2 linked regions of the Mus musculus genome follow. The protein of the gene in region 1 interacts with the protein of each later gene in a biochemical or structural test. Links are inferred from orthologs where the notes say so. Each region holds a gene or a part of one and is shown in the gene's direction. Other genes may lie near its edges. The genes, in order: Grwd1 and Rpl11.

Region 1 (4,585 bases):
CCACACAGAAACCCCTGACCCCAGACTGTGACTTCCAACACCTAAAATGATCATCTGACCCCAGACTGTGCCCCGACCAGACTGTGACCCTTCATGTCAGACCTCAATGACCCCTCCCTTTTAGATCCTTGTTGGCTCTGACCTATGACCTCTCCTCCACGAAAGTCCTACCTTTACCTGTCTCCCCCCACTCACCTACCACCCCAGATGCCACCAATCACATCTTCAAGTCCAGCCCTTATTTGTGACCCTTCAGTGATAATCCAGCAGACACTCCACCCCCAGGTCTCCTTTCCCAGATTTCAGCAGGGTCTGAGGCTGGGCTGAGAGGAGGGTCTGGGAGCCCACACCTGACCTTTCCTCCCCTCTCCCGCTCCTACACTGCAGTGTTTGGAATAAAACCATGTTTTTACGCCTCCTCAGTCCAAGCCTGAGTTCTGTGTCTGTCCCTTCAACTTCTCTGGAGAAAAATGGAAACTGAGAACTGAGTCCTTAGGGAGGACAGTCAGACAACAGAAACTGGGCTGGTGGTGTAGCGGAGGCAGGGTGTTGTAATATTCATAACACCCTGAGTTCAGTCCCCAGTCCTAGAAAACAGGAGATTGGGGAAAGCACAGTCAACCCCAGGAAGCGGCAAGAGTCCAGGGGAGAGGGGTGGAGAGGTGACAGGGCAGAGACAACACCCCCAAGAGTAGAGATACAAAAAGGGATGCACAAATTAGGACCAAATCTAGAGACCTACTCCTTGCTACTGGCAAGAATGATTTGATGGGTTATTTTATGCAAATGGAGAGTGGCCAACCCACGCCTTGAATCTCCTTAATCTCACCAGTGAGGATCTGTTTCCAATATTTCATTACTCCAATTAACCAAAACTCGGGTGTACATGGGTAGATAAAGAGAGCTGACTCAGTTGTAGCAGCAGCCTCAAGAGAGACTTTCTGATTAAGTGCCTGCTGACCAGAGCTGCCCTGGGAATGCCTGGTTGGGAAATGGTCTGCCCCTGGAGGATAGATCCAATCCACTAACTTATACATAATGTCCAGCCTGTCTACCCTAAAGCATTTTGAAATAATTTAAAACCATCATAACAAGGAGAGGAGAAGAAATCGGCCTTAAAGGTCCTCGGGGAACAGAAGCCCAGTCTCCTTGCCAGTAAGTGCTCGTTTACATACATGAATAATTAACTAAATGGAAAGACAACCCTGGGAATGAAAGGTGGAAGATGGAGAGGGCTCTGAAGCCGAGGACTTCTGTAGAACTACAACTCCCAGAAGGTCTTGCCATTGCTGCGCGGAAGAATTCCCCAAGGTCACACGAAAGACAAAATTGCTCCTAATATAAGTCTTCTCACTGAGCCAGGACGCGGTTACTTTGTGGCGGCCATCTCTCTGCGCATTACCTTCTTCTGGCTGGTTCACAGGTTTCCAAGGTAACAGTACAGTGGGACGGGTCTTAGACTGTGGGAGGTGAAACCCGGAAGTGACGCTCTCACTTCGCGTCCGGGGCAAGAAGGTTCGAAGATGGCGGCGCGCAAGGGCCGGAGTCGCACGTGTGAAACCGGAGAACCCATGGAGGCTGAAACCTGCGACCCAGGAACCGAAGGCCCATCCCAGGTCTACCTGCCCGGCAGAGGGCCGCCACTGAGCGAGGGAGAGGAGCTGGTAATGGATGAAGAGGCCTACGTGCTGTACCATCGTGCGCAAACTGGTAGGCAGAGGGACCTGACTCTCGGGTCCAGGGAAATGAAAGGCCTGTCTTGGGGTCTGGGGGACGAAGGGTCTGGAGTCTGAGGATTGTGACCCTGCAGACTGCCGGCCTTTGGAGGAGGTGGAGGCCGAGTTCCCAGTCTCTCGTTCCTACTCAGCAACTCTAATCTCCCCGCCCATCCCTAGGCGCCCCTTGTCTCAGCTTTGACATAGTTCGAGATCACTTGGGCGACAACCGGACAGAGCTCCCTCTCAGTCTTTACCTGTGTGCGGGAACCCAGGCGGAGAGCGCCCAGAGCAATAGGTGAGACCCAGGACCTTTGCAAGACATCCACAAGGCCCCACGCATTAGGGCTCTCTGCTAATGCCAGACCTAAAAGTCTGGGACCCCAGCCTCCCTCCTCCTTCAACATCCCGGCACTCAGTTTCTAACCCGTATTTGCTTCCCCAGACTGATGATGCTTCGGATGCACAATCTCCATGGCACCAGGCCGTCACCCTCAGAGGGCAGTGATGACGATGAGGAAGATGAAGATGAAGAGGATGAGGAGGAGCAGAAACCTCAGCTGGAACTGGCCATGGTTCCTCACTACGGTGGCATCAACCGAGTTCGGGTACAGTCTTTCCAGGGGCTTGTTAAGGATTCTCTGCAGCACACCCCTCCCCCTAGATCCAAATGTCTCTCAGTACCTCCTCCAGCCCCTCAGCTTCTCTCCCTCCCCCCTCATTTTCAGACATTTTCACTCTATGAGCTGATAAACAGATAATAAAGGCTGAAACAGCTCCTGATTGTGGTGAAACGCAAGGGTGTTACTGAGCTGTTGCTTAGGAACTGAGGCAGGATAGAATGAGTTCAAAGGCAGCTTAGTGGTAGAGCGCTCACCTCAAGTTCAATAAATAGAGCACTTTATGATCAGGTAGATGAGCAAAAAAGGGAGACGGTATACAAGGAGCATGTAGAGCAAAAGCCAACCCGTAGCTGGACCTGTCTCTGTTGGACCTGTATCTGTTACATTATTCCCAGAAGGTTTAGCCTGTAGACAGAAAGCTCTGGGCCCATGAACATAACATACTAGTGGGAAAGGGAACAAGAGAAAGCTTGTAGTTTGTTACAAGATGCTGAGTGTGGTAGTATAAGGGTGTTCCTAGGGTAGAGTTGTTTTTTGTAAATGGTGAATTTGAGGAGGACTGGGTAAGTCGGTGTTCTTGGACTAGAGACCTGCAGCAAGTGTCAGGGCTGGGGTGTTTGTGGAAACAGATTTGCAGAGAAGAAAAACGAAAGTGCCAAGACCCTGGGGTGCACCTGGCACACATGATTCAGAATCTCAGGGGAAACTGGAGAGGCGACTGTGTGTGGAGCAGAATAGACTAAGCGGGGACAGTGACAGATGTGCAGGGTGAGCGCCTGGAAGACTGGTTGCTTTGCCCTTGTGGGCTAATGTAAGTCTTGGTTTCTGCTTCAGGAGAAATTAGGAATAAGTGGAGGACGTAAAGTAGAGGAGTGATTGGTCTGGTACTTGTTTTCAGAGGCTCCCGCTGGCTTCTGTGTGGAAAATTGACTGCAGAGAGCCAAAAGTGTTTGATTACATAAGGAACAACTCACGGGAAGGGTGGCCACAGTACAGGTGGTTAGAAAAGTTTTGAGAGGCGCAGCGTAGATGGGTGTGAGGAAGGAGACAGCCAAACATGGGTCTCAATGTTTTAGACTGAAGGTGAATGTCTTAGTTAGGGTTACTAACGCTGTGATAAGATGCGGTGACCAAAAGTAACTTAGATAGGAAAGGCTTTGTTTGGCTTACACCTCCACATCACTGTTCATCACCAAAGGAAGTCAGGACAGGAACTGAAACAGCAAGAATGTGGTGGCAGGGACTGATGCAGAGGCCATGAAGGGGTGCTGCTTACTGGCCTGCTTGTCATGGCTTACTCAGCTTGCTTGTTTCAGTCTTTTTCATATTGTTTTGTTTGACAGGGTTTCTTTGTATGTTCTGGCTGTCCTGGACCTAGCTCTGTAGACCAGGCTGGCCTCGAACGCAAAGATTTGCCTGCCTCTGCCTCCCAAAGTTGTGTTCCACCACTGCCCAACTAAGCTGTTTTCTTATAGAATCTGGGACCGCCTGCCCAAGGCTGGCACCACCCACAATGGACTGGGCCCTCCTAATTAACAAAGCGTCCTACTGCCTGCAGCCCTATGTCTCTGAGGCTTTTTCTCTATTGAAGCTCTTCTCTCAGATTACTCTAGTTTATGTCAAGTTGACATAAAACTAGCCACCGTGGAGATGGTCAGAGGAATGTGTTGTCTATGGTAATAGGGCAGTTTAAGGATCTTGGAGTGACTGTAGAGGGGGAAGGACGTGAGAGCGGTAGAACCCGCAGTGTTTTCTAGAACTCCACTGGGAGCTTGAGCTTCATCCTTTTGCTGTTTCTGTTCCCAGAGCCAGGAGGTGACCTGGCCATCAGCTGGTCTGGGAGCATGTAGTTTCCTCCTACAAAGCTGTCTGGGGACTATATTTGTCTGTAGACATGCCAAGGTTATAGTTTTGGGGGTCTATTGTCTAACCTTAGGCCTCTCCCCTCTTTGTTTTGTGTACCCCTCTGGCAGGTATCTTGGCTGGGGGAGGAACCTGTGGCTGGAGTATGGTCAGAGAAGGGCCAAGTGGAGGTGTTCGCACTGCGGCGGCTCCTGCAGGTGGTGGATGACCCCCAGGCCCTGGCCATCTTCCTCCGAGATGAGCAGGCCCGAATAAAACCCATCTTCTCCTTTGCTGGCCACATGGGAGAGGGCTTTGCTCTTGACTGGTCCCCTCGGGTGCCCGGTGAGTTTGGATTTTCTCATGGTTCAGGGAGGATGGGTCGTAGGACTCCTGGAAAGGCAA
Region 2 (4,497 bases), on another chromosome or scaffold:
CAAAAACAAAACAAACAAACAAACAAACTGAAATTCTCATTATGTGTAGGTTTGAAAGGTTGGAAATGCTGGGGGGCTTCTGGCCTCCCTGTGTGGGTTAGAGAAGGGTACTGGGGGCAGCAGGAAGGAGAGGGCAGGCCCTTTTTCTACCGAAGGCGTCTGTGTTCTTCTTTGCCCATGCATTCATGTTAGAGAAACTGACTGACTCAAGGAAGGCCAGCATCTGCCTGGGATGTGGATCTTGGTGGTCCTCATCCTTGAGTTCAGCTTCTGAGGATTCAATGTAACCCTGGAAGGGGGCGTGTCCTATAGTCTGTAACTGATGATCTCTTCTCAGAAGCATCTGTAAGCCATTGTCAGATCTCTCTCTCTCTCTCTCTCTCTCTCTCTCTCTCTCTCTCACCTCTGATGTCCTTTTTCTTTTTAGCTACCATGTCTAATACTTCTTTTGGAAGGTGGGTGTTGCTTGGATGTTGTAGGCTTGACTTAATTATAAAAGTAACAACTTACATACTTCACTGAATTACACAGTAACCCATGACACAGAAGTAGCTGTTTTACACAAGGGGAAAACAGACAGAAGTAATTTTAATTAGTAACTAGCTAGTTGGATCAAACCCACACCTGCCTGTATTCACAGCTCAGGACTCTTATTTTCAAAATTTACTTTTTATTTATTAGTTTATCTGTATTTAAGTTTTTCCTGCACATATGTCCTTGTAAGTGTGTGCCTGGGGTCCTCAGAAGGAAGACAAGGGCATCAGACTGGAACAGCTGATTTAAGCCACTACTCTGATTTGTATACTTGTTAACATAGTTACAAAGTAAAGGGTCTAGAATCTGTATGGTTTCTTTTTATCTTCGCACTTATTTTATGTATGAGTACTCTATCTGCATGTACACCTGCATACCAGAAGAGGGCATCAGATCCCATTACAGATGTCTGTGAGCTACCATGTGGTTGTTGATAATTGAACTCAGGACCTTGGGAAGAGCTGTCAAGTGCTCTTAACTACTGCGCTGTCTCTCCAGCCTCAGCTGATTTTTTTGTTTTTGTTTTTGTTTTTGTTTTTCGAGACAGGGTTTCTCAGTCTAACCTTGGCTGTCCTGGAACTCACTCTGTAGACCAGAATTCAGAAATCCACCTGCCTCTGCCTCCCAAGTGCTGGGATTGAAGGCGTGCGCCACCACTGCCTGGCGTCTCAGCTTATTTATTTATAAAAATTATTTTATTTATATGGGTGTTTTGCCTGTATGCACACATGGCCTGATGCCTGTAGATGCCAGAAGAGGGATCTGTCTCCCTGGAACTGGAGGCACAACCAGTTTTGAAATACCGTGTTCATGCCGGGAATTTTGTTCTTAACTGTAAAGCCTTCTCTCTAGCCCTTTGCTCAACTGATTTAATGGACTTTGGGCAGTGACATCACTCAAGAACCACCAGGTTCTGAGACTGTTCTTGGAGTCATGGACTCAAGAACATACCAGCATCGGACAACCCACGACCTAGTCTTTTGCCCAAGATGACTGCAGTTTCGAGGACAGTCCACTAGAGGTGGCAGCGCCACGACAGCTATGCCTCTCTTTCCCCCTCTCCCCTCGTTTGTCTGCCTAGAAGAAAAGCCCGCCTCCTGACCCATAAGGCCACGGGGCCGGAAGTCTCCCTCTCTCTTCCTGTTCTCCACCATGGCGGTGAGTAGGCGAGAGTTGGCTTTGCCTCGCTTTCATCCGTCTCCATCCGCAGTCGGCGGAGCCCAGGGCGGCTGTCTCGCGGGTGGCCGGAGGAGGACGGAGCCCGCGAGGCTGTTGGCATTAAGCCCGGCGGGACTGGGCGGCCGTGGGGCACCCCCGCCGCATCGCCGCCCATCCTAAGAATGGGGCTCAGGTCTGCAGCCCCGAGGGCCCAGACGCAGTGTCTGGGGGCTGCCGGAAGTGCGAGCGCGACGTGCGGAGGTCCACGGCGGGGCCAAGGGGACACTTGCAGCTTGTGTGGTGCTGGGGAGTTTCTGCGAGTCCTACTCGCAGGACCCGTGCTAGCTTGGGAAGGGGGACGGCATGGCGCAGAGGCCGGTACTTCCTGTAGTTTTGATTAGGGTTACATTGTATACTTTCTACGATCTCTAGTGTCTGTTCCCTACTCGTGGATCCGCTTGGGATTCAGGCTCTCTCTCTGTGTTCGTTCTCTTCCAAACGCGGAGACCTTGGTGGTCCCGAGGGCTTAGGCGGGATCCGGGACGATAGAAGTCAGAGCGGAGAAGACCTTGGCTGTTTCTCGTCTCTGACGGGGCGGGAGGGTGTTGATGGCTGTGTCCCTCTTCGCAGCAAGATCAAGGGGAAAAGGAGAACCCCATGCGGGAACTGCGCATCCGCAAGCTCTGCCTCAATATCTGCGTCGGGGAGAGCGGAGACAGACTGACCCGGGCAGCCAAGGTGTTGGAGCAGCTCACAGGCCAGACCCCGGTGTTCTCCAAAGGTGAGTGGCGGTGGGCTGACCAGAGAGGAGTGGATCTGGAAAGCTTGCTTCATCTGACCGGAGCACGGGTGCAAATGGACTTATAACGTGAGCTGTCGTGGGCCTGGTTGACAGCTAAGAACAGGGTTAATACCGTACACTGTTGGCATGAGGTCCTATCCATGCTTTTATTTGTATTTGTGTGTGTGTGCATGGGTACTCTGTTTGCATGCATGCCCACATGACAGAAGAGGGAATCAGATCCCGTTTCTGTTGGTTGTGAACAACCGTGTAGGTCCTCAGAACCTGTTAAACCTCTGAGCCATCTTTCCAACACCCCCCCACCAGTGCTTCTTAACTTCTGGCTCTGCCTCAACTCACTTAAAATGAATTGTGATTCCCTTGTTTGGCCACATGACAGGAGTTACCTTGCTAGAAACATGGAGTCTGTTGCTAGTGTGGTTGTGGGTGGTCTGTGATTGGGTTTGGATACTGTTTCTTAGGACCACAGTCAGCATTTTGAAAACACTGGCTTTTGTCAGTTTTAGTCTCCCAATTAGAGCATAATCATTGGTTGGGCCTGATAGCCCACAACTGTAACCCCATTACCCAGGCTGAAGCAGGAGGATTGCTGCCAGTTCAAGGCCAGCCTGGGCTACATTTGAGATTTTTCTCTCTCAAGGAATGTAACAGTCTTGCTAACCTGTGTCTGTTACTATGGCCATGCTGTTTGAGGTTCTTAGTATGGCTGGGTAAATTAGAGATGGAAAGCTCTGTTTTCTGTGTTGTGGACGATGTTGACTGACACGCTAGATGCCGTGCAATGGAAATAAGACATTACCTGCCTCTTGTGTCCCCGTCCTGCAGCTAGATACACTGTCAGGTCCTTTGGCATCCGGAGAAATGAGAAGATTGCTGTTCACTGCACAGTCCGCGGAGCCAAGGCAGAGGAAATTCTGGAGAAAGGCCTGAAGGTGAGGCTGGTGGGGTGGAGGCTGCTGCATTGTCAGAGATGGGCTATATATACACACATACAGTGCCTTGGCGTTTCAGAGATGACTGTTCCTGGATTTCTGTCCTTGGGATTTTCTCTGCTCTTTGGAAGTGGGGATCGTTTGATGGCATTTGTAGCTGGGGCATGACTTGGTTAGGGGAGGGATACCTGTGCTCCTAGCTAGGACTCACAGAGTTTTGGTTTTGCTCTGGGCCTACTGGGTGTTGATCTGAGCTCATGTTGGGCTACTTGAACATGATGGATAGCATGGTCACTTCTGTGTCCATTCAGGTGCGGGAGTATGAGTTGCGGAAAAATAACTTCTCGGATACTGGAAACTTTGGTTTTGGAATTCAAGAACACATTGACCTGGGCATCAAATACGACCCAAGCATTGGGATCTACGGCCTGGACTTCTATGTGGTATGTGGACTTCTCAGTCCCAAGCTGCCTGTGGGGAGAGGTGGCTCCTCTGTCGACGTCCACACATGCTGTCCTGCTGTTGGGATGGGGAGCTGGGTTGAAGTCTCGTGTCTTGTCTGCCTGTGTGTCCCCCTCAGAAAAGGGCCTTGTAGCAAGTGTAGAGGTTCCGGGGTTTATTCCCTGCCGTTGCAAAGCTCTCTGGGTCATCCTGGGCTGCATTTGCCCTTCGAATTTGCTTCCCTGTCTCCACTCATCTCCTTAGCCTGGGGCACAGGAGTTCTGTGAGGAAGTCATGGAAATGTGGGGGGTGCAGACTGCTCAAATGGGGATTGTCATGTGGGAATGGCCGTTATCATAGTGGAAAGCGCTTTGGGGGGGTATGCTGCTTTTGGCGACTTAAATTTTTCCACATTGCACATGTAAGTTTTTGTTTTGAGGCAGGGTCTTTGATTTACAGCCTAAGCTGGCCTTGAACTCCCTGCATGTATATCTGCACCATGTGTGTGCCTGGTGCCTGTGGAGGCCAGAAGAGAGAGGACAAGGGAATCACATACTGGAATTGGGACTGGAGTTACAAGGATAGAGACCAGTTGAGGAGGAAGCCTGCGGGGCATGTGTGTGTACTGCC

Evidence for each region.
Region 2: the proteins of Grwd1 (region 1) and Rpl11 form a complex in vitro, tested with the Homo sapiens proteins (2 studies listed by BioGRID). The link is inferred for Mus musculus from reciprocal best matches to the Homo sapiens genes GRWD1 and RPL11.

What each region holds. Positions count from the first base shown.
Region 1 is NC_000073.6:45,827,720-45,832,304, reverse strand, and holds the start of Grwd1 (glutamate-rich WD repeat-containing protein 1), read left to right. Parts: upstream 1-1,515; 5' UTR 1,516-1,523; coding exon 1,524-1,710; intron 1,711-1,895; coding exon 1,896-2,013; intron 2,014-2,160; coding exon 2,161-2,323; intron 2,324-4,311; coding exon 4,312-4,525; intron 4,526-4,585. UniProt on the Homo sapiens protein: Histone binding-protein that regulates chromatin dynamics and minichromosome maintenance (MCM) loading at replication origins, possibly by promoting chromatin openness.
Region 2 is NC_000070.6:136,050,543-136,055,039, reverse strand, and holds the start of Rpl11 (60S ribosomal protein L11), read left to right. Parts: upstream 1-1,646; 5' UTR 1,647-1,686; coding exon 1,687-1,692; exon of another isoform or gene 1,693-2,055; coding exon of another isoform or gene 2,056-2,070; intron 2,071-2,322; coding exon 2,323-2,473; intron 2,474-3,319; coding exon 3,320-3,426; intron 3,427-3,737; coding exon 3,738-3,869; intron 3,870-4,497.